Cricetulus griseus: one gene and its partners. The protein of the gene in region 2 purifies or fractionates together with the protein of the main gene of each other region. This does not show direct contact. Links are inferred from orthologs where the notes say so. Each region holds a gene or a part of one and is shown on either strand. Other genes may lie near its edges.

Evidence for each region.
Region 1: the proteins of Hnrnph1 (region 2) and Hnrnpa1 purify together in Homo sapiens (affinity purification with mass spectrometry; 7 studies listed by BioGRID and IntAct, with this or other methods). This does not show direct contact. The link is inferred for Cricetulus griseus from reciprocal best matches to the Homo sapiens genes HNRNPH1 and HNRNPA1.
Region 3: the proteins of Hnrnph1 (region 2) and Hnrnpdl fractionate together in Homo sapiens (co-fractionation; 3 studies listed by BioGRID and IntAct, with this or other methods). This does not show direct contact. The link is inferred for Cricetulus griseus from reciprocal best matches to the Homo sapiens genes HNRNPH1 and HNRNPDL.
Region 4: the proteins of Hnrnph1 (region 2) and Tardbp purify together in Homo sapiens (affinity purification with western blotting; 3 studies listed by BioGRID and IntAct, with this or other methods). This does not show direct contact. The link is inferred for Cricetulus griseus from reciprocal best matches to the Homo sapiens genes HNRNPH1 and TARDBP.
Region 5: the proteins of Hnrnph1 (region 2) and Hnrnpa3 fractionate together in Homo sapiens (co-fractionation; 3 studies listed by BioGRID and IntAct, with this or other methods). This does not show direct contact. The link is inferred for Cricetulus griseus from reciprocal best matches to the Homo sapiens genes HNRNPH1 and HNRNPA3.
Region 6: the proteins of Hnrnph1 (region 2) and Ddx5 purify together in Homo sapiens (affinity purification with mass spectrometry; 4 studies listed by BioGRID and IntAct, with this or other methods). This does not show direct contact. The link is inferred for Cricetulus griseus from reciprocal best matches to the Homo sapiens genes HNRNPH1 and DDX5.
Region 7: the proteins of Hnrnph1 (region 2) and Hnrnpr fractionate together in Homo sapiens (co-fractionation; 3 studies listed by BioGRID and IntAct, with this or other methods). This does not show direct contact. The link is inferred for Cricetulus griseus from reciprocal best matches to the Homo sapiens genes HNRNPH1 and HNRNPR.

What each region holds. Positions count from the first base shown.
Region 1 is NC_048595.1:399,611,796-399,615,920, reverse strand, and holds the start of Hnrnpa1 (heterogeneous nuclear ribonucleoprotein A1), read right to left. Parts: upstream 2,801-4,125; 5' UTR 2,658-2,800; coding exon 2,643-2,657; intron 2,090-2,642; coding exon 1,973-2,089; intron 1,738-1,972; coding exon 1,591-1,737; intron 1,447-1,590; coding exon 1,236-1,446; intron 837-1,235; coding exon 744-836; intron 657-743; coding exon 564-656; intron 409-563; coding exon 334-408; intron 132-333; coding exon 1-131. UniProt on the Homo sapiens protein: Involved in the packaging of pre-mRNA into hnRNP particles, transport of poly(A) mRNA from the nucleus to the cytoplasm and modulation of splice site selection.
Region 2 is NC_048600.1:64,841,096-64,844,559, reverse strand, and holds the end of Hnrnph1 (heterogeneous nuclear ribonucleoprotein H), read right to left. Parts: intron 3,335-3,464; coding exon 3,275-3,334; coding exon of another isoform or gene 3,245-3,274; intron 3,184-3,244; coding exon 3,094-3,183; intron 2,390-3,093; coding exon 2,297-2,389; intron 1,892-2,296; coding exon of another isoform or gene 1,842-1,891; intron 1,254-1,841; coding exon 1,135-1,253; 3' UTR 501-1,134; downstream 1-500. UniProt on the Homo sapiens protein: This protein is a component of the heterogeneous nuclear ribonucleoprotein (hnRNP) complexes which provide the substrate for the processing events that pre-mRNAs undergo before becoming functional, translatable mRNAs in the cytoplasm.
Region 3 is NW_023276807.1:162,144,690-162,148,928, forward strand, and holds the start of Hnrnpdl (heterogeneous nuclear ribonucleoprotein D-like), read right to left. Parts: upstream 2,801-4,239; 5' UTR 2,651-2,800; coding exon 2,193-2,650; intron 1,431-2,192; coding exon 1,262-1,430; intron 1,179-1,261; coding exon 1,017-1,178; intron 669-1,016; coding exon 537-668; intron 425-536; coding exon 310-424; intron 66-309; coding exon 1-65. Other genes in the region: Enoph1 (enolase-phosphatase E1), read left to right, coding at 3,732-3,786. UniProt on the Homo sapiens protein: Acts as a transcriptional regulator. Promotes transcription repression. Promotes transcription activation in differentiated myotubes. Binds to double- and single-stranded DNA sequences. Binds to the transcription suppressor CATR sequence of the COX5B promoter.
Region 4 is NC_048595.1:7,784,997-7,787,735, reverse strand, and holds part of Tardbp (TAR DNA-binding protein 43), read right to left. Parts: intron 2,285-2,739; coding exon 2,121-2,284; intron 1,707-2,120; coding exon 1,566-1,706; intron 210-1,565; coding exon 39-209; intron 1-38. UniProt on the Homo sapiens protein: RNA-binding protein that is involved in various steps of RNA biogenesis and processing.
Region 5 is NC_048599.1:99,406,211-99,409,710, forward strand, and holds part of Hnrnpa3 (heterogeneous nuclear ribonucleoprotein A3), read right to left. Parts: intron 3,072-3,500; coding exon 2,982-3,071; intron 2,898-2,981; coding exon 2,802-2,897; intron 2,715-2,801; coding exon 2,634-2,714; intron 2,153-2,633; coding exon 2,009-2,152; intron 606-2,008; coding exon 483-605; intron 400-482; coding exon 347-399; 3' UTR 330-346; intron 241-329; exon of another isoform or gene 1-240. UniProt on the Homo sapiens protein: Plays a role in cytoplasmic trafficking of RNA. Binds to the cis-acting response element, A2RE. May be involved in pre-mRNA splicing.
Region 6 is NC_048600.1:119,732,270-119,736,351, forward strand, and holds the start of Ddx5 (probable ATP-dependent RNA helicase DDX5), read right to left. Parts: upstream 2,801-4,082; 5' UTR 2,786-2,800; intron 2,640-2,785; exon of another isoform or gene 2,624-2,639; intron 2,318-2,623; exon of another isoform or gene 2,275-2,317; 5' UTR 2,134-2,274; coding exon 2,090-2,133; intron 918-2,089; coding exon 752-917; intron 144-751; coding exon 47-143; intron 1-46. Other genes in the region: Cep95 (centrosomal protein of 95 kDa), read left to right, coding at 3,163-3,181. UniProt on the Homo sapiens protein: Involved in the alternative regulation of pre-mRNA splicing; its RNA helicase activity is necessary for increasing tau exon 10 inclusion and occurs in a RBM4-dependent manner. Binds to the tau pre-mRNA in the stem-loop region downstream of exon 10.
Region 7 is NC_048595.1:16,990,615-16,994,755, reverse strand, and holds the start of Hnrnpr (heterogeneous nuclear ribonucleoprotein R), read left to right. Parts: upstream 1-1,341; 5' UTR 1,342-1,498; intron 1,499-2,018; exon of another isoform or gene 2,019-2,143; intron 2,144-4,141. UniProt on the Homo sapiens protein: Component of ribonucleosomes, which are complexes of at least 20 other different heterogeneous nuclear ribonucleoproteins (hnRNP). hnRNP play an important role in processing of precursor mRNA in the nucleus.

The DNA of each region.
Region 1 (4,125 bases), on a different chromosome or scaffold from region 2:
TCCTCCGTTGTTATAGCTGTCATAGCTGCCACTCCCGCCATAGCCACTGCCCTGGTTTCCATAACCCTGTCCACCACTTCCATAGCCTCTGCTTCCTCCAGAGTAACCAGGGCCGCCTCCTCCATAACCACCTACAAGAATACAAGCCTTCTCAATAAGACAAAAGTATTTAACAATAAAAATCTATGCAAGTGTAATGACTAATGGCCTGCTCACAGCATGCGTATTACGGGGCTGGTTGATTTTGTCATGCACTAGGTTTAGTGTCTACTAGCCTAGTCTAAAGGTATAGGTTGCTAGAAATTTTACTTACGGATTCCTTAAGAAACTTACCGTCATTACCAAATCCATTATAGCCATCCCCACTGCCACCATATCCACCACCACCACGGCTACCACCGAAGCCACCTGTAAGAAACCAGAGCTTTAGGTATATGAATGAAGCAAATGCTAATCTCTGTGTAACGAAAACTTATGTTTTGGGTAAAATCTAAATGCTATAAACAAAGACTAGCAGTTATCCATCGTTCCAAAAGCAATTAAGAAATCCAAAAGGTACACACCTCGACCACTGAAGTTTCCCCCTCGACCAAAGTTGTCATTGCCGCCAAAACCACCTCCACGACCACCACCAAAGTTTCCGGAACCACTTCGACCTTAAGAGATGTTTGGATCATTACATTAGACCAACTTGCAGCAACAACCCAACTACCCTCTGCAAGTTCTAACTAAGCAAGAGATACCTCTTTGGCTGGATGAAGCACTGGCCATCTCTTGCTTTGACAGGGCTTTTCTCACTTCACAGTTGTGGCCATTCACAGTATGGTATTTCTGAACTTAAAAAAAAAAAGTTAACTTTAGGGCTTTAAACACACTGAGTCCCAGTCATTAAGAAATCTGAGCACGATGGGTGTTGGTGGCCCACGCCTTTAATCCCAGCACTCAGGAGGCAGAGGCAGGCAGATCTCTGAGCTTCAGACCAGCCTGGTCTACATGAGCTAGTTCCAGGACAGCCTTTAAAGCCAGAGAAACCCTGTCTCGAATCCACCCAAAAGAAAAATGTAATCTGGCTGGGGGGTGGAACACCCCATAAATCCCAGCATTCAGGAGGCAGAGACAGGCCATCTGAGTTTGAGGGCGGGTCTCATTTCCAGGAAAGGACCCAAAGCTACAGAATATTCCCAGTTTGTGGGGGAGGGAGGAGGAGGAGAGAAATCTAATTATCTGACACTTACTAACAATCTTGTCCACAGAGTCATGGTCATCAAAGGTGACAAAAGCAAACCCTCTTTTTTTCCCACTGCCTCTGTCCGTCATGATTTCAATCACTTCAATCTTCCCATACTGCTCAAAATAATCACGAAGGTGATGTTCTTCAGTGTCCTCTTTAATACCACCAACAAAGATCTTTTTCACAGTTAAGTGGGCCCCTGGTCTTTGAGAATCCTAAAAGGAAAATGATGCAGTCATTATTAGTACATTTCAAATGATTGGCAGCTGTGGTGGCCCACGCCTTTAATCCCAGCACTCTAGGGGTCTATCTGGCGTCTAGATAAAAGAGAACCCAACTATTAGCATAATAACACTCACTTCTCTTGAAACAGCTCTCTTAGGTTCCACAACTCTGCCATCCACCTTGTGTGGCCTTGCATTCATAGCGGCATCTACTTCTTCCACAGTAGCGTACGTGACAAAACCAAAGCCCCTGGATCGCTTCGTATTTGGATCTCTCATTACCTGTTTATAGAGTTAATTCAATCAACATATTGCCTGATATCAGGACCTGAGGCCATTCCAACTCTGAACATGTCCAGCATAAAACTCCATTTAGACTCAAGCATAAGGCCCCCAAACAAAGATCCTTTTAAAATTATACCATTAATTACCTTCACAAAGCATCTGGGTAAGAAGTGCGGCATGATTAAAGCAATAAAATTAAACCAGCCCCGCCTTTTGTTCCTTCTAATCTTACCACACAGTCGGTGAGTGTTCCCCATTGCTCAAAATGGCTTCTCAGACTCTCGTCGGTTGTTTCGAAGCTCAGCCCTCCAATGAAGAGCTTCCGCAGCTGTTCCGGCTCCTTGGGTGACTGAATCGGATCAAAGGAGAGCCGTTAGCTAAGGGGCTGGAACTTGAGCGAATGGATCAACTCCACGCATCAACATAGGCCGCACTTTTTTATTGTTCTTTATTACAGCACAAGACCACGTGCTCCTCTCTGGGCCAGGAGGTGCTGTTGGGGCGTGGGGGGGAGGACTAGCATGCAGCGCATGCGTCCCTACTCTATACGCACGCGCAACAAAAGACACGGGCTGGACTGGTCAATCGCCATTAAAACTTACTGAAGCCTTAGCAGACGTTAGTTAGGCAAAGCCAAGAAAGAAAATAAAAAGAGCCACAACCCCCAAGGTCGCATATCTGTGAATTCTGCCACTAGGAGCCGAGTGTGGAAACTAGCGGTTAGCGGACGGCAGCCTCATGGCGACTACGAGGACAAAATGGCGACCTGCACTTTGTGAGCAGGCCTCGGCAACGACCGATCAAACACCGAAAGCATGGGTGCCAGCCAGAAAAATAGGTCGCATCCCGTCCTGTTCATTGCGTATGGAAGGAAACGAAGCCGCAGAGCGCGCACAACTCACCTCCGACTTAGACATGACGGCAGGGAAACGAGAGCCTTCAGCGATGCTTCCTCCGCCGCGTCAACAGGCAGAAAGGAGTAAGTCAACGAACGTATCCGCCAGCCTACCTTCGGCTCGCCTTTTTATCCCGCCTCCTCGCTTTCGGCATTGGTAGACTCCGCCCTGGCCTTACTCTGATTGGAGATCTGGAATTGTTCCCGCCCACTCTAGGTCTGTGGATCCGCCCTGCTAAGAGATGGCATCTGCTGGGGCGTTCTACGCAGTCTCCGCCCTTCGGAGTCATCGACGCTCTGGGGGATTTTTTTTTTAACCAGGTTGATTGACTAGCTAACCAGTGGTTTATATTTGAATGTACCCATGTCTTTAAACGCCTTGCATAACTTCCCAGCGTCCGAACATTATAACCTCACTTGGCAAAACACGACACGTTAGGAAAAGTAGTTCGCTACCACTTTTGCAGCCACTGCCCGGAGAGCGCATGTGTAATAAAAATGGCGAGTTTACGCCGGCGCACTAAGGAGTTCCGCTCGCCTACTGAACACGTGAAATGGCGGGCGGCGGGCGGGAGAGGGCGGTGAACCTAAGGCGCCTGCGTACTGGCGGGAGCTGCGTCCTGCTTTGCGCAGGCGTTTTGGGCGGAGAAAAGGTCTGGGCCCAGGATTGGTTGCGCAGGCGCAGGGAAAGGATCCGTTTTGGCGGGCGGCTGGCGTTGCGCAGAAGGCGGCGGTAGCGGGTGGCTTGTGGTGCAGCTTTACCACAGAGGAACCGCGCAGGCCTTAGTGTGAGTGGTCACTGTAGATCCCGGGTAAGTGGCAGAGTCTTGACTAACCGTGGGAGTTCCTGGACCCGCTCCAATTGGACTCGTTATTGTACGAAATGAATGGGCCCCGCTGGACTTGGGGGAGCGACAGTGAAGGGGCCGCGATGGGTCGGGCCAGCCAATGGGAGAACGGGGGCGGGATGTTTTAATTCTGCCAGGTCCTTTTGGGCTGCGCTACCAGAGCGTTTGACTGACGAGTGTATAGGCCAATTGGGTCTTCCTATAGCTGCCTACGGATCGGCCCTTGGGCCATCCGAATGCGGGAGGCGGGCTTTTCCCGCCCGAGTGGCGTCTCTCAGAGCCAATGAGCTCCAAGCGCGCGATAGGCCGGCCTTCTCCAAGCGGCAGAGGCTGGACTCCAGTGGGGAGCGCGGGAGTCGGGAGGTTAAATCCATGGACCAAACCTGGATCAAGTAAATGGAGAGATTCCTTGAAAGAGAGGCATCTTGCCTTCAGAGGGAATTGTAGGGGTGCATATTTTATCTACAATGACTCCTATAGTGGAGGCAATCATTCCCTACATCACCTTAACGAAAGCATGTTTTCTTGTTCCCCTCTAGTTTGGCATTTTTCTTGCTCTTTTAGATCCCTTCACTTGATATTTTGAAGAACTTAGGGAGGGAGGCTTTAGTTTTTGAAAATTCTTAAAGGAAAACATTTAAT
Region 2 (3,464 bases):
ATCTCTTTCCTACCTAGTGCTCTGCCTTCCTAGTGCTTGGATTAAAGGCATGTGCCACCATGTCCAGCATTAAACTTTTTTAAGGTTCATTTTTGTTGTCTATATGGATATACCATCTTACAAATGAAGTTCAGAGGCTACTTGTAGGAATTTTTACTTCTACCAGCCAAGGCTACACAGTAAGACCTTGTCTCCAAGTTATTGGGTTTTCTGTTTGGTTCTGTTTTTATTTTTCGAGGTTTTTCTCCCAGGGTGGTGTTGATATACACCTTTAATCCCAGCACCAGGGAGGCAGAGCAGGAGGATCTGAGTTGAGGCCAGCCTGGTCTATGGAGTTCCAGGACAACCAGGGCAGTTAGAGACCCTGTCTCAAAACACACACAGTTTCTCTATGTAGCCCAGCCTTTCTATCATAGTCAGAGACATGGAATATGACCCCAGGTAGGAATAAAGCACCAAAGAAAGATCACATGACACTGAAGCACAGATACGACAAGGTGTAGCTTTTAAAAGGAAGATTTATTTGACAAGGTTCACTTAGCGCAATACACCTAAAAGGAAATCACAATACAATGAAAGACTTAAATCAAGGCCTCAGAATTTCATACAAACACCAAGACCAAAAATCCTAAAGTAATGGTATTGCGTCTCAAAATTTCTCCATCAACTTAAAAAAAAAGAGAAAAGCTTTAAACTCACGTGCCTTACAGGTTTATCAAATGAAATTAGAACAAACATGCCAAATGTTTCACTTTTAATTGTAGACGCAGCTCCTATAGAGTTTTACAAAAAAGCATGTCTTTTCAACATGCATCAACAGTGTTCAATGTAATGTATGTATAAGAGCAACATTTAACATAATTCAACTGCTTTAACCTAAATACGCTTACTGCTTACACACATCCTACAGTAACTAGAGAAAAGCTGGGAATTGTTTAACAGTTATAGTTCACTGTATCATCATCCTAGGTGACTATATTCAACATTGAACCTTAGTCCTTTGAGTGATGCCAATGTTCACTTAAGAGAGTAGACATAAATCACAAGGCTGGATTGCAAAACTGTTAAACTGAAGGTTTTTTTTTTTCCATTAAAAAAAAAAATGACCAAGAGTCAGTGATCAATCAAAATCAATTACATTCCCCATCCACCACTCATACTGGACATGCTAGACATCCCTCCCATTCCATTCACGCCCATAGATGCACGGCTTCCGCTATTGTAGTAGCTGCTGTTCACTGCTCCTTGGCTACCTGCAAAGAGATCAGTTTGACAAGTTAGGAATAGTGTCAAATAACCAATCAAATAAAATAACATTCCAAGAAAAAGTTTAAAAGGTATACGAGTGCAAATGGCTGCTGTCCAATTGGCGAGAAGCATGTTGGGAAAAGGGAATCCCGACTCCAAACAAATTTCAATTAAACCCTTTTCTCTGCAGTACCAACTTGCCAGACTCTTGTGCTACCATTTTAAGTGGATTCTTCAGGATCAACGTGGAAATTTTAAGTTTAAAGGAAAACTAGTGTTTTTCAAAAATTGCAAAATTACTTCCAAGTTTTTAAAGCTAAACAAAGCATTTAAAAATTTACCATAAACATGTACTATGTGTTCATCGAATGATGTGTATGAATAGGGAACACAGGGGAAGTCTTTTGCTTTGCCTATTCATGGTGGGCAAGAAGTGAGAGGACAAAAGTTGGACTAAAGGCAACTCACTGTGCCCAAAATGGCAGCCTCCAGGGAGTTAAGTCAGAGTCACTGACTGCTATAGAAAAGTGTTATCACAACATTATCAGTCTTTGCTATTGGGAATTTAAATTATTTTTTGAGAAAATATTTACCTATGCAATGTTTGATTGAAAATCACTGGAGTTTTCCTGTAAAACTTGGTCTGCAAAAGGATTTTGTAGGGTAAGACTATAATACCAAAATCACCATTCTTTAGACCAATTGAAAAAAAAATAAATAAAACCATCCCTAGGTTAACCGACTAGTAAAATACTGTCCTGAACCCAACCACCAGCCTAATATTTAAAAATTACCCTCCAAAAAATTTAATGCTACAACAGAAAAGCAAGCTAATTATTTTAATAAACGAACAGAGATGTTTTCTGCCTTGACAATATTCCAAAATTGCAATTACTAGGATACATCCCCCTCCTCCCAATGACTTTCTGTAAATTATACTAATAAGAATTGTAATAAAAACCATATTAATACCCCTCCTCTTTTCAAAAGGAGCCCAACTAGACAAACCAACCTAAAACTTACTCTAGGTATATAAAAAAAAACTTACCATATCCACTCATGCTGCTCTGGCCACCGTAGCCACCTCCATAACCACCACTCAGTTGCTGGCTGGCTGGGCCACCGTAACTGGACTGGTTTGCTGTTAAGTTAAGAGAACATTAGAGCTTTGCTCCTTATCCAATGTGGTACCTGGTGGTACCGGGCTTGTAATTCTATGTCTACGATTTTCCAGTCTTGATCTTAAATTACTGTCTCCTGCCTACTGTCTATGACAAGACTGTCTATGACCATATTAACCTTTATATTCATCATTTTAGCTAGCTCAGTGTTTATAAACCAAAGGGTTGAGGACTAAGTACACATGATTCACTAAGTAGAGGCATTTTTTGATCATCTTATGAAACTTTAGTGGGGTTTCCCCCTTAGCTTGATATATATTTAGATATTATACAGGTATCAATGAACACCTAGTTAATTATGCCCAAGTAATTATGTTACCAAATAAAAATTTTAAACCTTATGTTTGTTAAGTATTTTAAACTTACACTTTATAGACAGATACTATAACACAATCAATAGTCCCCTCCCCCAAACAAAAGTACTTGTATCTACTTTAAGTAAGCTATCCTAAGCAGGTTTATGTTATTTACAAGATTTTAGTAATTTAATATAGTAATTACAAAATTTACTTTGCCTGAATTTGTTTGCTAACTTAATATTTTTATTGTAGCTTAAAATTATTATGGTAACAAACTCTTATGCTAATTATAATATTAACTTAGCTTATTAACTACTTATACAGATATAAATGTTTTGGTTTTTAAAAAAACTAACGATATTTACACAAGCCCATGCCTCCCATCATTTGGCTACCATAAGCACCACCGCTTGCTCCTGCTGTAGAATTCAAGAAGAGTTCTACATATCTGTGTTCTGAAATGAGAGAAAAGGCATACAAGGTTAGCTTAAAAAAAGACACTAAAGTGATATTTACACAAACCCATGCCTCCTAGCATTTGGCTACCGTAAGCACCACCGCTTGCTCCTGCTGTAGAATTCAAGAAGAGTTCTACATATCTGTGTTCTGAAATGAGAAAAAAAAAGTTTGAAAATGTTTGTTGGTAAAAGAAAACAAGCAATTTAAAAGTAACTTGTGAATCACAAATGTTTTGGTGAAAAGAAAAAGAAAACTCCCATGTTAGAACTTAAGAACT
Region 3 (4,239 bases), on a different chromosome or scaffold from region 2:
ATTATAATTTCCATATCCTTGATCATAATAGTTATTAAATCCTTGGTTCCAGTTTTGGCCCTGACCTGAAACAATGCACAATGATTGTTAGGAAACCACTTTGGACTTTCCCGATCCTAACACAAAATGATTCATTCTTGTCCCCTACACTGTACTTACTAAAAACAAAACAAAAACCTCCCCACGAACCAGCCTTTACCATGTGGGGTCATTTTTAAGTTTCCATCTAGCTGTGTTCTCCTATGGGCCATTTTACCTAGCAGCTTACTGTTACAGTTTAAAAACCACTATTTCCCCGTCAAGTCTCACCTCTTCCACGTCCCCTCGTACCACCTCTTCCACCAGCCGCTCCACCTCTGCCACCTTTTTGTTGTTGCTGTTGCTGCCTGTATACCTCTTTGGGTTGTGCAACTTTGATTTCACACTAAAAACAAACAGAATTTTTGCATGTTCTAAGCTCTGAACACAAAAGTGGCTTTCTTTTCAAACAGGGTTTCCACATACACACTTCTCTTAATGGAATTCAATCTATTTACCTTCCCAGAACCTATTTGATGGTATCTGCTTTCTAATAATTTCTTTACTGGCTCTTCGTCTGTGTATGTGATAAAACAGAATCCTCTTCTTTCATTTGTTTTTGTATCCATGGGGAGCTCAATATTCTCTATCTGCAACCAGGTGCATTCAAAACAAACAAAACCACCCATTAGTGCAAGTGTACAGACTTCACAAACACACTCTACAGACCACTACTGTCTAAAAAGTCGAGTTATATTCTTTTACAGTGTCTTCTACCCCAGAGAGGCCACCAGTTGGTAAAACTTGCACCACTTTAATCCCTTGGGCTTTGGCTAGACCAGATTAGATACTGGTTTCCACCATGGCACAGAAAGTAGCAATTAAGATGCAAAACCATAAGGCACCCAAGAAGTAATTCAGGCCCATCTTGTGAAATACTAATGAACCCTACACAAACTTGAGCATTTCAAAAACACATTTATACAAACACAGCCCACCTCTCCAAAGGCTCCAAAGTATTCCTTAATTTGTTCTTCTGAAGTGTCTGGACTCAATCCACCCACAAAAACCTTTTTAGGGGGTTCTTTTCCCTTTAAAGCTTTGGCCCTTTTGGGGTCTATCAATTTGCCATCCAGTTTGTGTTCCTTCAGTTCCAAAACCTAGAAGACAAGTTAGACAGGAACTTAGAAGCCTATAGCAATTTGCAAGCAACACAAAAGCACAGTGCAAAACACACCCATACCTTATCCACACTAGCAGCATCTTTGAAAAGCACAAATCCAAATCCTCTTGATCTTCCAGTGACTGGATCTGTCTTAATTGTGCAGTCTACAACTTCCCCAAATCGAGACAAATACTCAGTCAGATCTTTCTTGCTTGTATCCCAGCTCAAGCCTCCAATAAACATTTTACTAGAAATAAAGTCATTTAAAAAAAAAAGAGACTTAACAGTAACTTAGTGATTACTTCAACCCTGTAATTAAACAATACAGTAGGTGCATGCAATCCGCTTTGATTACAAACACTAACAGACCACAAAAACCAGCTCAAACAAAAACTTGCTCAAACAAACCAGCAGACAGGTTGCTGTCTACAGTGCAAACACAAAACTTTATAAAAGGCCAACGAAGTCTGGTAGAGATTCGGCTCCGACTACTTTGGTTTGCAAAAACACAACTTGAACACCGAATCCGCCCCCTCCCTCCCCGACAACTTAAGTGAACTTTCATCCATAGCTCTCAAGTCAACTTGCTACCTACGGAACTCTTGGTACCAGCCGGCTACTGGTGCCCAAACCAAGTTTCCCAAACGTCCCCCGGAAAAAGTCGCCCCAGCAACAGCAACAATAACAACACAAGACACACAATGAAGAGGCGGCGGCAGCTGCAGCATGTGGCGCACCGAGCCCGGCCCCTCCCCCCCGCGGCGCCTGCGCACTCGGGACACCGACGGCGCCGCCTTCCTTCCCCAACCCCTCCTCCCTTCCCCCACCCGCGGCGGGCCTCTCGAGTCACCCCCCCATCTTACTTTCCACTAGTGGGGAAGCTACTGGGGTCCAGCGGGCACGCGGAGAATCGGCTCGGGGAAAGAGTGGGGGCAGCGCGCGCAGCTCCGGAGGGGGCGCGGGGCGCGCGCGGGGCTCTGGGGGAGGGGAGGAGCGGAGCGTGCGGTACCCGTCATCCTGCTGGTTCTTGCTCGCGTTGATCTTGGATCCCTCTGCGAACTCCTCTATGTTGCTGTACTCGTTCATGTCCTCCATGCTGGCGGAGCCGTCGGCGAGGGGGTGCTGGCGCGCAGTGCGGGTCCCGGCGGCGGCGGTGGCGGCGGCGGAGCGTTGTATGGAGCCGGATTTAAAATGGCGGCGGAAGAGATCCGGCCGCCGCCTGCGCCCTCCCTTTATAGCCGCCCCGCCCGCCAATCGGGAGGGCTGCTGGGCGGTGACGTGGCGCTGGGTCCGGCGCGCCCCCTGCCGGGAGGAGCTGGAAGCGAGCGAAGGGAGGAGCGGGGCGAGCTGCCGGGGAGCCCGTGGTCGCCAATGGGAGAGGCTACGGGAGGCTAAAGTAGCGGGAGCGGAGGGGAACAATGGCGGCGGCTGCGGCTGCACATGGGAAAGCCGGGGCGGGACCTCCATCGCGGTGCTCCGGGCGAGGAGCGAGGTCGCGCTGGGGGTCGGCCTGAGAGAGCAGGAGAAGTCAGACGCGCAGGACCGAAGCGCAGGCAATCCCGACGGCGCCGTAGCAGGGCCACAGTCCCTCTTGCCTTGAGAGCCTTTTGTGTCACCGCGTCCAGTCCGCCGCGCCCTCAGTCCCCCAATGCGGAGCTGCGGCGGTGGCGGCTATGACCGCCTGGCTGCTCCGGGAAGAAGGCGGCGTGCACCCGGGGCTGCTTGCTGATGCTGCAGCGCGCCCGCAAGCTCGCCCGGCGCACGCGTGCTCTGTCCTTGCGCGGGCTGAAGCCAGCCGAACCAGAAAGCGGACGCAAAGCGACGACCCTCTCTGTTCTGGCGGGGACTGCGGCTTTTCCGCCGTCGCCTCGGGGCGCTGTCTGCTCGGGGGGCGGGGGGGGGGGGCTCGGCTGCAGGATCGCCGCAGCCCGATGCGTGCGGCCGGCCTCCCGGGCTGGCTGAGGCCGCGGCGGAGGGCGGGGCCTGCTCGGAGGACTGAAGCTGTGCCAAAGCGCACGCGGTGGGCGGGGAAGGGGGTCGGGTGCCGGAGAAGGCAAGGGGCACTCACGTCCCCGGCGCGCCACTCACGGGGCTCCCGTCTGCACGTGGCCCGGGCCGCTCGCGCCGGCTCCCTCCTCCAGGCTGCGGAGGACTGGCGCCCGCGCTCCGGGATCCGGGCTCTGGTGTTCGCTTCTTTGTTCCCGCCCACGCGAGGCCCATTTTGACGGATCGGGTTCGCGGCTCGCCGGTGACCAATAGGAGCGCGCTCCCTGCTTTCCCCGCCCCCCTCGGAACCCAGAGCACCGCCCCCTCTGCCCACGTGGTCTGGGCCTGCGCCGCTCGCCTGGTCTTTGGGTGCAGCGTCTTGGGCGGCTTCCTCTGCAGTCGCGGGTACCCCGAGCCGGCCTGTGCCCACCTCTCTGGCCGCTCGCTGCTGCCAGTTCTCAGATTGTTGCTGGGCTTCGGGAGCCCGAGGCGTCCTGGGGGCACAGGCTGTGTTGTCCTCTTTACCAGCGCGGCCGAGCCCGTGGTAGCATCCGGCAGGGAAATGGTCGTGGTTTCGGTGCCCGCCGAAGTCACAGTTATCCTGTTAGATATCGAAGGTACCACAACCCCGATTGCTTTCGTGAAGGTGAGGGGCGGAAGGGAGCGGGGAAGTTATTTGTGTCTAAAAGCATCTGAAAAAGAAATCTTTCAGTGTTGCGGGTTTTGCCTATGGGCTCAAGGAGAGGTGGTGTGGCTTTGCGTCTCTGGAATGGGGAAGAGTGAGGCGGCGGGGGGTGCTTTTCCTCGCGCCACCATCTTCTCCCTCCCCTGTCTTTGCTTTTGGTTAGGTAGAAAAGGATAGGAAGACGTGGAGGTGGTCTCAGCAAAGGCCTGGGGGAGGGCAGGTCAGCTGGGAGGAGGTGAGATGACAGGCCTGCGGGTAGGTGTGTGCCCTGTCTCCTGGAGGATGAGAGTCCACCATGTGTTGGGCTGTGGTCTGGAGAGGTGGTGGCCTTGATTAGTGGTCCTTGAGGTTTAGGTCTTCCCTAATGCAAAAGACAGAAGTGAAA
Region 4 (2,739 bases), on a different chromosome or scaffold from region 2:
AAATTCCCAGCCCCGATACAAATGAAGAAGAAAAATACCTTATCATCTGCAAAGGTAACAAAGGCAAAAGCCCTGAATGGTTTGGGAATGAAGACATCTACCACTTCTCCATACTGGCAGAAGAACTGCTGAAGCTCTTCAGCAGTCATGTCTTCTGTACAACGCCCAACAAACACCTTTCTGCTTCTCAAAGGCTCATCTGGGCTTTGCTGGTCAAAAGGAAGAGTAGAAAAAAAATACATAAAGGCATACTGTCACTGCCCCCCTCCCTTTGCTTTTTGAGACAAGGTCTCACTGTCTATCTCTGGATGGCCTGTGCCTGAGTACTGAGATTAAAAGGTGTGGGCCCTTGTAATCTTGAACCAAGTACATGTCTGGTGCCCTTAAAGGTCTGAAGAAGGGATTGGGTCACTCGGAATTATAGTGTTGTGTGTTGCCATATGGGTGCTGAAAACTGAACCAGTCCTTCTCCAAAAACAATTACTAATTAACTTTTCTTCCTCATTTCCTTCGGATTTCTAAAACAGGCTCTCCCGTTTTAAGGATGGCCTTAAGCTTGATATGTGAGGACAATCTGGAACTCCTGATCCTGTTACTACCTCCCATGTGCTAGAATTACAGGAATGTAATACCAAGAGACCATTATGTCACATTTGCGATAGAGGTTGATGCTAGCCATCTTTCTTAGTCATTCTCCACCTTCCTTATGAGGCTGGGTCTCACTGAACTCGTATTTGGCTAACTAGACTGGTAGCCAGGCAAACTCCATGAATTAGCCTGCCTCCCGCCTCCAGGGGTGGGATTACAAGTATATCTTACCACACCTAGCTGTTAAACACAGGACCCCAGCACGTAGAAGGCAGAGGCAGGCTGATCTGTGTTGAGCTTGAGGCCAGTCTGGTGTACAGAGTGATAGCTAGGACCATGCAGAGAACCCTGTCTCAAAATAAAGATGTGTGTTCCCGCCAGGCATTGGTAGCACACACCTTTAATCCTAGCACTCAGGAGACAGAGGCAGGCGGATCACTGTTGAGTTTGAGGCCACCCTGGCCTACTGAGCAAGTTCCAGGACAACCTCCAAAGCAATACAGAGAAATCCTGTCCCGAAAAACAAAGTATACTTTGACCCCAAAAGAAATGTTCCAAATAATTAAAGTCTCATTTGCTTGTTTGGCGTAAGTTTGGGCTGGGGTTATAGGCTCAGTGGTCAAGCACTCGACACTACTAGGTTTAATCAGGGTACTCACATCTCTCTGAGTTCCAGCCTGGTCTACAGAGTGAGTTCCAGGACAGCCTCCAAAGCTATAGAGAAACCCTGTCTCGAAAACTCAGAAGAAAAAACAAAACTCCCTAAGATTAAGCTGAGTGGTAGTAGCCCACACCTTTAATCTCAGCACCTGGAAAGCAGAGGCAGGTAGGTGGATACCGAGTTTGAGGCCATCCAAGGCTACAGAGACACCTGCCTTGGAAAACTTTTCCTGCCGTCAATGTTTCCAAATGCACTTAATTTAAGGTCTTTTAAAAGAAAAAAAATCACCCAAGCATACAGGAAAAGAGCAAAATACCTTAGAATTGGGGAGTTTACAGTCACACCATCGCCCATCTATCATATGTCGCTGTGACATCACTTTCACTTGGGTTTCATATTCCGTAAATCGAACAAAGCCAAACCCCTTTGAATGACCAGTTTTAAGATCTTTCTTGACCTAAGAAAAGAAATTTACTCTAATACCACATATATACCAAATCAGAGTTCACATAGAAACTTGAATGGCTTCAACTGAACGAAAAAGCACATTAAAGTTTAATGTTTAATAACGTTAGTCCAAGGCAAGAATCAATAGGGAATTGCATCATTAACAGGGAATGAATGACTCACGACAGAACTTAACAATGTTTTACAATGAGCACAAATATAATAGTTCTAATATGACCTAGTTCCTTTAAACCAGTAATTTTCAACTTTCCTATTGTTTTCACCCTTTAATACAGTTCCCACTGTTATGGTGACTCTCCAATCATAAAATTTTTGGTGTTACTTCCTAATAAGGATCGATACTGTTATGACCCATATATACAGAATAAACAAAAGGAAAGCTGTTACCCAGAATCAAGTTTACCTGAACCATAAGAACCTCTCCAAAAGTACTGAAATAGTCTTTAAGATCTTGTTCTGTTGTTTTCCAAGGGAGACCCAACACTATTAGATCAGATGTTTTCTGAACTGCTCTTTTCACTTTCACGGCCGAGGAAGCATCTGTCTCATCCATTTTCCTTTTGTTATCTAAACAAAGCGAGCATAAACCCATATTTAGCAGTTCTTTAAAGATAGGTGGAGCTCTGTGAGTTCGAGGCCAGTCTGGTCTGCAAGCTAGTTCCAGGACAGCCAGGGTTATACCCCGTCTCGAATGACCACCCCATTCTAGTTTTATATTATCTTATTGAAAATTGATCTGTATACACATTTGTAAGCCGTTTCTGGACTTCTGCCCTGTTAGGCTGCAAACCACTGCAATTGCCCTTTTAAGTGTGTTCTAGAGGTAGACAGGATGTCTGTCTTGCTCTGCAAGTGTCTTTACCAAATCAGCTATCTCCCTGGCCCAGGATTTCAATAATGTAGGATTATAAAATCAACTGCATGTCCTCCTCAAAACCTGTATCTAAATCAATGCAATTTTACTTCCTTTTAATTTTGTGGCATGGAATTTATCTGACTGATCGAGGGTATCAGACACCTTG
Region 5 (3,500 bases), on a different chromosome or scaffold from region 2:
CTAATTGACACTACATTGCATTAATCAATAGCTGCACTTTTTGCAAACTGTGGCTATGACAGTCCTGAACAAGAAGGGTTTCCTGTTTAAGCTGCAGTAACTTTTCTTTTCTGACTATGGATCATCGTTCCTCCTGTGGCAGATTTTACAGTTCCTCTAATGCATTTAGGACGACTGTCTCAAAGTAACCTGCAGCTTTCCTGACAACTCCTCGCTCTCTCTCCTGCTAAGAACTGTAGCCTGTTGAATAATACAGGATAAAAAAATTATTACACTCAGTCAAGTTCCATATATTCTTTTATCATTTAAAAAAAATTTAAGATACCTACCCTTTTCTGCTGTATTTTTAAAACCTTCTGCTACCATATCCACCACTTCCACCACCAGATCCATAGCCACCTGAAAAATAACAATACAGTTCTAAATACACCTAAAATATTAACCAAGAATGCTCTTAAGAATTCTGATTAAAAAGAACTTACCACCATAGGGACTGCCTGAGCTTCTTCCACCAAAACTGCCCCCTTTCATGGGTCCATAATTTGATTGCTGTTGTCCACTATAATTTCCAAAGTCATTATAGTTCCCACCACCACCATAGTTACCTGAAATCACAAAGATATTTATTTATAGTTTTCCAAAATAATTATTTACCCCTTTATTTCAACTCATGGAAGCCAAGTATTATAATTATTTTAATGCAAGGATTTAACATTGACCTTAGGTACTAAACTCCATTACCATAAGCCCAAGTGATTTAATAAACAAATCCAAAAAAAAAAAAAAAAAAAAAAAGGGCATAGTAAGTGAAACACATCAATCAAGAAGACTATATTTCCACACTTCAGCCTGAGGAACATCTATTTTTTTTCCTTTGCCATTATATCCTACATACACACTCCTACCACATAATTTAGACCATCAAAAAGCACATTTATGAGTTAGGTTCAACAGTTCCCTAACAAAGATCATATTACCTTAATAATTGTGCATAACCCATGCTATAGTATGTAGCATGATACATAATACAGTAACACTCAAAGCATTCCATGAACTGATATACTACCCTATTCAAACAACTTACACATCCCATTTACCAAGTTTCAAAGTATCCAAGAGTTAAGGAAAAACCCAGCAACAAACCACATTTTAAAAACTTCCTTTGTAATTTACTAATTATAATTAGTAAGTATCCTTTTTACCAATTTACAATACACATTTTAACACTGCAGAAACATTTTTAAAAATCAAATTTGCTGGTGTGGTTGGGAAATGGATCCAAGAAGGTTCAAAGCCAGAGTCTAATACATATTTTAAGCTACCTGGGCTATAATAAAGTCCTATTTGGAATGATGAAAATATTTCTGGAATAGTGATGAGGTTTGTAAAATACTGTAAATATAAAAAAAAAAGAAAAAAGAAAAAAGCGGGGCGTTGGTGGTGCATGCCTTAATCCCAGCACTCAGGAGGCAGGTGGATCTCTGTGAGTTCGAGACCAGCCTGGTCTACAGGAACTAGTTCCAGGACAGCCTCCAAAGACACAGAGAAACCCTGTCTCCAAAACAAAAACAAACAAAAAAACAACCTGTAAATATGCCTTAACAGCATTGAATCCTACACTGAAACCTTTATTTTATTTTGGCTTTGGGTTTTTTGTTTTTGTTTTTCAAGATAGTTTCTCTTTGGAGGCTGTCCTAGAACTAGGTTTGTAGGCCAGGCTCCACTTGCCTCTGACTCCTGAGTGCTGGGATTAAGACACAGTGATCTAGAACTCAAGATCTCCCTGTATACATACCTTAAAAATTGTTTTCTAGTTGTGAAATGTATGCAGTGCCCATTTTTCCACAACTTAAAAATGGACATGGTAAGTTTACATGGATGAGATGTGTTTTAATATAGCTATTTAACACTTAAAACTTTGCCAGTGTATCCTTTAAACATTTCCAAGCACTGCAGAGAACTAATTTAAATGCTAATTTGTATTTACTTCAAACATCTGTTAACTTACCTCCACCAAAATTTCCTCCTTCATTGTAACCATCATATCCTCCTCCACCACCACCATATCCACCACCTTGGTTTCCATATCCTGGTCCACCACCACCATAGCCTCCTCTACTACTGTAACCAGGACCACCACCATAGTTGCCACCTGAAAAGAAAGCGACACAGAAACAAATGTTCAGGGAAGGCCAAATACTACACCATCACTGGCAATGAACCACTGAACAGATTTAACATTCCAAATCTAGTCAGAGCCAAGCAATCTTGATGGGTAAAACTTAAGATGAGTGTTTTTGTTCTTTCAAACAAGTCAGTTTTTATTTTCACTCATGACAATATAGCCTTACACAAAGCAATTTTAGCTCAACTGCTGATACAAATAAAACTTATTGCCAGAAGATAACAAGTTAATATTTACTTCCATCCTTGGGAAGAGGCTTCCTCTTCTGTGGTTCTAGTTATGAACTATACTTCAATCCATTCAAAGTTTTAGGACTGGAAGGTATGACACTTTTAAAACAGTTAAAACGCTATCATATCTATGTTTAAGTTTTCTAACTAGCAAAAGGCTATGTGGATTCCTGGCAATGCAGAAATTAAAAGACAAAACTCAGTCTTTAAATACTCACCATCACCTCCAAATCCATTATATCCACCATCACCACCTCCATAACTACCTCTGCTGCCACCACCTCCACCACCATAGCCTCCTGAGGAAAATCAAAGTTTGAATTAAAATGATACCTTCAACTGACTACTAAATTTATGATGCATTATACTAAAAACAAGCACCTTACCTCTTCCACCAAAGTTTCCACCACGACCAAAATTACCTCCACCACCTCCAAAGTTTCCACCACGACCCATAAAGTTGCCAGATCCACCTCCACGACCTGTAACACATGTTGAAGTAAAAACTTCAAAATCTTTCAACTACTGTTCATGTCTATTATTTATGTGCATATGATCCTACTTACCTCTCTGTGATCCAGCAGACTGCATCTCTTGTTTAGAAAGGGCCTTTTTCACTTCACAATTATGCCCATTAATAGTGTGGTATTTCTGAACTGTAAGTTTAAGTAAAAAAAACCACAAAGTTATTTTTTTGTTTGGAAAACCAAAGTGAAACCCTTGTTGCCATGCAATTAATTAAAATGATAGACTGAGAAGGGAATAAGAGGATATTTGGGGAATAAATGTTTTTTTGGGGGTAGTGGGGTTTCCAGAGACAGGGTTTCTCTGTGGCCTTTGGAGGCCTTATAGACCAACCTGATCTGCCTGCCTCTGCCTCCCAAGTGTTGGGATTAACGGCGTGGGCAACCACCGCCCAGCCAAGAAAAGTTAATCTAGATGGGTTTCAACCTCCACAGGGATCACATTATCAGATAAGCAAAACAGCAGCAAAATTACAGTGATGAAGTAGAAACAAAAATGTTATTGGGGAGGGGTCAACACAACATGAGGAACTATATTAAGGGTTACAGCATTATGAAAGT
Region 6 (4,082 bases), about 55 Mb from region 2:
GAAGAGGGAACAAATGAAAAGAATTGAGATGAAAATTAGTCCTTACCAGGGAAGTTTGCTTCATAAAAATTCAGAACAGGCTTTGGACAGTTGTGACCCCGAACTGTAATTTCCTTGCTTCTTCTGTATGTATCTACCTCTTGCTGAAAAACAAATGACCCCAGTCTCAAACCTCAGCCAACTGCACTGACAAGTCCCCTACAGCTCAGCAGCAATTTTTATGTACTTAAAACACTCACCTAGGGCAGGGCCTTAGTGGTGCACACCTTTAATCCTAGCACTCGGGAGACAGAGGCAGGCAGATCTCTGAGTTTGAGGCCAGTCTGGTCTCTAGATCGAGTGCCAAGATAGGCTCTAAAGCTACACAGAGAAACCCTGTCTCGAAAACCAAAAAGTCTCACTATGTAGCCCAAATAGGCTGATTGGCTTGCCTGTCTCCCCAGTGATGGGAATTAAAGACTAGTGCCATAACACCTGGCCAATACACATTTTTTTTTTTTTTACCCTCTGGTGCTTCGAGACAGGGCTTCTCTGTATTGTTTGAGCCTGCCTCTATCTCCCGATTACTGGGATTAAAGGCGTGCTCCACCAGCGCCTGGCTCAAATAATTTTTACACTAGATTCAATGGACACATTTGGAAACCACACCACAAATAATAATTTGAATTCGAGACATTTGCAAGGCACCTGTCAGCTTCAATCCAATTGAGTAGAAGCTGTTAGCCAGTAAAAGCCACATTAAATCACTCACTGCGGTGCGTCTTGCCAAATCAGGGTGTTCCTGATAAAAATTCTTCTCAAATTTGGGCAGCTCATCCAGATTCCACTTCTTTTTAACTAGTTTCTCCCCAGGATTTCCAAACTTCTTTCCAGAGAGGGGTCCTGTTCTGCTCCCTCCGAATCTTGGTGCACCAAATCTACAGGGGGGGGGAAGCCACATTGTAAAAAAGTTCTGTTATGTTTGCACTCACATTTTATTTAATGTCTTTTGATATAAAGCCAAAGTGCATTTCTGGAATCCCTCCCAATTGTCAATTCTAGACAGCAACAACTGGCACAATATATTTTTACTATAGTCCCAAGCACACACTATTGATGCCAAACAAGCAGCTTGGATTTACCAGGTCGGCTGCCCAAACATCTGAAGTTCAGATTACAAGGACAGATAACAGCCTGAGGCTCCATATACCCTCCCCACAGGGCTTAGGAATTAGGAGCTGGGCAAGAAGGGAGGAGCTTAACAAGGTTATTTTTGCCACTGTTTCCGACCAAAGGAACTGATTCTTAAAGAAAACGGCGCCGAGCAGGCGATGTGGGCAGGTGAACGAGGAAGGTGTTGCGGGTAGGGCAGCAAGGGGCGAACTCGCCGCGAACCGCAGCTAATCAAGGTAGCAAAATTACATAACGCGAGGGGAAGGAAAAAAAAAAAAAAAGAGGAGGAGCCGGCGACAACCGGGGGAGGAGTCCCGGGCCGGGCTGCGTTCCCGCTGGGGCGGCGCTTCCTTCTTTGTCTCGCATTTCTCTCTGCGCCACATTTTCTCGACGCTGCCATTTTGAGCGCCTCTGCCGGGCGGGGTAACAAAGGCGCCGCCGCCATGTCCGAGGCCGGCATTTTGTGGCCGCCGCTCGGCCACATGGCTCAACCCGCCGACGTCGGCCACCCTCCACGGCACGGATGGCCTCGAAAGCGACCCCTCCGCTCCCCGGTAACACCGGGGGCCCCCAAAACACCCGCCGGAAGGTTGCACCGAACAACGCCTCGGAGCCGCCTCAAAGGCGCGGCGCTTCCTCGTCCTACACTACAACCCTCCTCGGAGATCCCCGCGACAGCCGCGGGGTCGCCACGGGACCCGAGCCTCCCAAACCAAAAAAAAAGCCAGGCGGAGCCCAACTCCTGGGAGCGCCGCCCCTAACGTCTTTTAATCAGCTGGGATAACAACAACAAAAATAAAAACCCTCAAGGCCTCCTTCCTGAAAACCCCAGGGTCGGTCGGTTGGAAACCCGAGCGCCGCCCGCCCGCCCGCTCGCTCGCTCGGCCGGCTGCCCATCCCCCACCCGCTAGCCTGACAGGTCCCTTGTCACACTCACCCTCGATCCCGGCCGCGGTCTCGGTCGCTGGAGTAACTCGACATGGCGTCAATGGTTGCGGTGAGCGGGAAAGACCCAGTGAAGGACAACCCAGTCGCGACGAGTCGCTGAGAGGAGGCCTCGGCGACGGCGAAGCCTTTGCGGGGGCGTCACCGGCGGAGGGACGGGCGGTGACGAAGCCGGAGCTGTAAACCCGAGGGCCGAGGGAAATGAATGAGGTGCCGGCTGCGTCCCGGCGGCCGCTTTTATAGTCTGGACCGCCTCCTCGCCGCAGAGGATGCTGGGAGCCGCTCTATGACCTCATCGCCCCACCCCCCTCCCCCCGGCGGGAGGCCTCAACGCCCGCTGGCGTTCGGGAATCCGCCATGTCCGCGCCCCTCCCCCCGCGGGCGCTCCCTCACAGGCGCCCGTTTATGACCCCCTTCCCGGCGGGGTGACACCGCTAGGGCGCCTCGCCCCGCACTCGTGTGGCTTCCCCGCGGCCAGCCGGCCATTACAATGGCCCGCACCAGCCAGCCAGCCCGTCGTCTCCACCTGAAGAAGATGTTTACGTCTCCACAGGCTCCCCCACGCCCATGACCGAAGAAGCCGGGGAGGTGGAGCCTGCCGTTGTCACGTGGTTGCACCTCAGGGCTAGGCGGGCCGCACTACTTCTCCGCTTGGCCTCGGCGGAGGAATACCTTCCCGCAGACTCACCGGAAGCGCGGCTCCGAGGCCCCGGGGAGAGCGGCCGGGCTGCTGGGTGACCCGGCTGCCTGGCCGGCCGAGCTGAGAGCCCTCAAGCGGGATCGGGCCCGCGGGGAATGGTATCTAGAGCCCGCAAACCGCCGCCGAAGCGCGTGCCGCGAAAGGAAGTGCTTCTCCGATGACCAATCAGCGGCGAGAAGCCGTTTTAACGTCCCGCCCTCTTCCAGCCCTCCTTCCCGGCTCTCTGGTTCCTACCCCCTCCTCCCCGGCTCGGCCCCCCCGCCCCGCCCGGCCCGGCCCGGCCCTTGCAGGACACCGTCGCCAGCGCTCGCTCCCTCGCTCGCTCGCTCTCGTCTCGGAGTCCGGCCGCGACCTTTCTTGGCAGTATGGCCAGCTCAGAGGCTGGTGAGTCTCGGCCTGGAGCCCTAGTGTTTGCGCCCTGCGGCATCCAGCTGGCCGCGGGCCGACCCGAACCGTGTCTGGGCTTCTGGAGAGGCTCGTGACTGTCGCACAGTAGTGGCCATCGCGGGGGAGTGGGCGGGCGCCTCTGAATTTAGGGTCTAGTCGTGGAACGGACAATTGGGATGTGGCCGAGGGGTTCGGTTCGCTGGCGAGGCTGGGACACCCGCATCCTGTCTTTACAGAGCAGTAAAGGACCCTTCTCTGGGACATTAGACACAGGCTGTGTCTCCTCTTTTGCTTTGTAGGGACTAAGGCGGAATGTTCTTCTGTATTGATTTTTTTTTTTTTTTGAGGCATCGCACTCATAAGAGCTTTTGATGTCCTCTAGAGTAAACGGCTTTGTCTAATACTGCCTTTGAAAAGCCAATTGATTCGGTTGTCTAGGACGCCTTGCCTCCTCCCCAGGACAGCATACAAAATGGTTGTCATGGCTTGGTTCTAAAGTGCCTTGCCTTTAATAACCAATCATTTTAGGATACAGGTGTTTCAAGCTTTCGGATTATTGCTGAAACCCTTAAACTTGGTCTTGCACTATATAGGGGAGGGCAAGAACCGTTTTTTAAAAAATGGAGAACTTGAGCAGTATTAATGTGCTAGTTCAGAGCTAGCTCTGTGTTTGTGTTTTCCTCATATTTACCTCCTTATACAGCAAATACAATAAAAAGAAAACAATTGCATTAGTGTTGGTGTGGTCGTTATTCCAGTTTCTAATAGCCTCAATTAATCACTTGTTTGGGCACCAAGAGATCTTAACTTACACAAGATAATTGCATAAAACTATTGGGAATTTGGAGCCACCTAGGTCAGATTCAGGCAACTTCAGATTATCATTTACAACTATCTT
Region 7 (4,141 bases), on a different chromosome or scaffold from region 2:
TCTGGAACTCACTTTATAGACAGGCTGGCCTTGAACTCACAGACCCTCTGTCTTCCAAGTGCTAGGATTAAAAGTGAGTGCCACTACTGCCAGGCTTCTAAGCTTCTTTTGAGCCATCTCTCTAGCCCCCCGAACAGGGTTTAAAATTGTACAGTTCTGTAGGTAGGGAAGTCCAACGTTGTTGGGCACAAGGGGTAATGGCTTTTTTGCAATGTCACCCTATGGTGGGAGTGCAAAAGATGCTGAGAAAATCAGAGTCAGACATCAAACTCAAAGCCTGAAGCCCTTCCATAGTTAGCATTAGCCCATTGAGGGTGGAGTCCTAGTGCCTGACACACCTCCCACTAAAGGCCACACCCCTCACCACTGTCACAGAGGCCATCAAGTCCGCCACACCTGCATTTTTGCAGAAGCACTTTAAAAAACGCGGGGTAGATGAACAGTAATTACATTTTGGTTTATCGGCTTTGAGAAACTTGATCTCCAGGTACATTTGGAAGCAAATCTCTTGACCCTCACTGAGGTGGCAGTTGGGGTAGGACCGGAGTGACAGGTGAGAGAGAGGTTTATGAATAAGAAGAATTAGTCTCTTTGGGGGAATGACTGACTACTTTGCCCCCTGCATGGCTTTCAGTCATAGATCCAGTGCCCTACCTACTCTGTGCTCCAAACTCCGGAGTTCCTGACTTCTGTTAACATGGCTCTTGAGTCAGGTCCACTTTATCCACTTTATTCTGTGTGGAAAGGAGCCAGGGAGGGGAACAAGTTTTCCCGATCGTTCCAAGGGATGCTTTTCTACCGAAAAATCTCCAGCCAAACGAGTCAAATCATCCTTCAGCTGTGTTTTGACCGGAGCCAAGACGACGTAGCGCGGAGCCCAGCGCGTGGCGAAGGGTGTGTTTGGGACCTGCCAGCCAGGCGTGAGGGAGGGTTCGAGATAAGCAACTCCCGCGCCGGGTGGCAGCGAGCGCCATTGCCGAGCGTGGCCGCTCGCACCCGAGGGGGGCGGGGCTCCGGAGGCGGCCACGCGGCGCGAGGCCTAGATTTTCCAGCCTCGTAACCGTGGAAGACGAAGAGGGAGGAGCTTCGGCCACGCACGGCCTGCAGCCCCGCAGCCTCGCCACTACCAGGGGCTCCCACCAACAGACCCCTTTGTGTGCATGCCCCCGCCCCGGAGGCGCCTCAGCCAGTGGCGCTGAGAACCCTCATTGGCTCAGCCCGACGGCCACACCGATTGGCTCGCGGAGCCACCGGCATGGGGGCCGCTTTCCCTCTCTCTGATTGGTCCGCCGAGCTGTCTATCAGACAGCCTCAGGAGCCGATTGCTCGGCCGCACGGAGTCCCTGGAAGCAGTTCCGGGAGACCCCGCGTGCTGCCGGGATCGCGTCTCTGTGCTTGAAGGGGGGGAGGGGGTGGCGCGCGCGCCATTTCTGGTCGTTTTCAAAGCGCCTCGCGCTGATTCTCACGGGCCAGGCCGCCGGCCCCCCGCTCTGCCCTGGTGAGTCTCGCGCTGGCCCGTGGGGGGAGGGGCCGGGAGTCCCGGTCTGACCGGACTCGGCCCGGCCCACGCTCGGCGCCCGGGTCTGCAGTTTGGGTCTTGGCTCCGAGGCCCGAGGGTGGGGGTGGGGATGGGCCGGGGGCGGCTTCTGCTCGGGCCGGCCGCGCAGCCGCGGGCCTGAGTCCTGCCGCGGCGCCTCCTCCCTCGCTCATCATCCTCAGCCCCTCCGGCGCCCGGTCCCTCGGTCCGCCGTCCTCCCCGCGGCCTGCCGGTCTCGCGGCGCTTTTCCCGCCTCCGCCCGCCGGTGGCGGCGGCCGGGCCGGGCGAAGGGTTCCAGGCGTCCCCCCGGCCCCGGCGCTTCCCCCTAGGCCTGCGGTCAGGCCTGGCTCGCACATCGCCGGCCGGCGCGGGTGGGATGTGTTGATAACCGGGTCGCGCCCGAGGGGGTGGGGTGAGCCGAGGGCGGGGTGCAAATCCCAGGGTTACCTGAGCCGGGAGCAAACTTTGTGGGAGTCGGAGCCGAGGGGCCGAGGTATGGGGGGGTGCCTCCCACCCGATCCTCATCCTGCATGCTTGGAGCCGAGATTTGAAGGAAAAAATGACTACTTCAGGCCGTGACACTTGGTCGAGCGGCGCCTGAGCTAGGTAATTCGGAGAATGTCACAGGCGCTCCACATTGGAAAAGCTCTTTTTCTTAACACCGTAGTAACCATGTGGCCAGAATTTCAAGACGAAAGCCCAGGGGTTCTTGAAAGGTTCAATCCTTTCTTGTTACCTGTTTGAGATTTTTTTCCCCCCACCTGCCCTTCAATGGCAGAATGCATGTGTCAGGGAATCTCAGTCGTAGTGATTAAGGGCTTGGCACCACCGAGCTTTGAGATAACGGTTAGCTTTCGTTAGTTCTTTTAAAGCCCTTCTTAAAATTTTGCTTTAGAGATGCTGGCCCAAAGTCAGGGAGGATCTAGTACTGACTTCCCAAGTCTCCCAGTGGCCCTTATATATTTTATTTAAATGGCTTTATTTTGTAATTTTCTTTCTTTTTTTTTTTTTTTTTTGCAAAAAAAAAAAAAGTTCAGGTCAAAGGATTCCAGATACGTTAGTATATTTGCTGCATCCAGAAATATGGTTTGGCTGAGTGGCATTGTGTTGAATTGACATGAGTTTTAAATGGTCTCATAACATAAAAGTCTTTTAAAGGAGCACTTTGTATTCGGCTTGAAGAGGTGTTATGTTTTGTTTTGCCTTGTTCTGAAGGTTTTATTTTCTGGAATCTATTTTACCTTTTTTTTTTGTTAAAGTTGACAAGATGGAAATTGTAAAACAATTTCAATATTGATGATAGTCATAAGTATCTGTCTTGTGCTTAATACATAACTTGTCATTTTGCTTCACGCATACTTTTAAGAAAACACTTCACCTTAACAGATGTTCATTGAACTCCTTTAATTTGCCTCTCCTGTAACATAGTAGTCACAGGTGTAGTGCTGTAAGGTCTTGTGGTAGAATTTTTCAGTTTTGGTGATCTTACTGTAGTGGTTGGGAGGGGATGGGAAAACACAACTATATGTTCACAAAAAGATTGGGGAATTTAGAATGCTGCTTTATAGTACTAGGTTGTATTAATCAGTAAATATGCTCATCTTATGTGCTAATAGTTTCTTGTGCCAGTTTTGGATGTTTCCATTTTTTGCTAGCTCATCAGAATCTGACCTTTGCCCATTCAGACTTAACTACAGTCCGCGTCTCTAGAGACATTAGAGGGCTAGGGAGAGTTTTGTGATGATGGGAAGTCATGCTGTTTAGGTCATTTTCAGAGTAACACTGTTCACATTTTCCTTTCTACTGTTGCCTCCCTGTCCTCTGTCTTTCTCCTCTCGTTAACTTCTACTAAATATCAGTGGATGTTCAAATGAAGAGCTGTTTTATGTCAGGAAACAGCACCTGGTGCATTTGCATAGTGTTTGATGAGTAATCTGGAAGTGATTGGTTATTTTAGGCTCTAGTGCTTTTAGGTGAGTTGTATTTTCTTAGCTGGCTATCTTGAGTTTCTCTAAGAAAAGCAGGCATTTTCTTGAGACCCACCTTCATCATGCCTTTATTTCAGTATGTGCCTCAGTATCTTTATTGTGCCACCAGTTATTCTTCATCGCATTATAATTTCACCACAAACACACACTTTAATTCCCTGACTTTGAGGTAGTATAGACTGGCCTTGTATGCTTTTGTGATTTACTGTCTCTTCAGGGAATTGGTCCATTTCAGCATTATATACAGGCTGAACATACAAAATGATTTTGGTAGGTTAATCTGAGAAATATGACTGAAGTTTATGCCAATTAGATAGTGTTTGTAAAGTTTTTTGGAAGTTTTCCATTCTTCAGTATTTTTTGCAACTTTTTTTCACTGACAAGAAAAATTCAATTCATACTCCTGATTTTTTTTAAGCATGAAGCAACCTCAACTATAGCTCACTTATTTTTATGTAAACTTTAAACAATGGCTTAGCTTTTAAAGTTGGTCATTTTTTCTTTTAAATCTGTGAATGGGAATAGCAAATTAATCATAGCACAAAACTAATGTGAAAGTTGTGTTTTTTTAAGTGAGTTGGAGAGAACCCAAGCCACCAGCTCGTTGAACTGGATA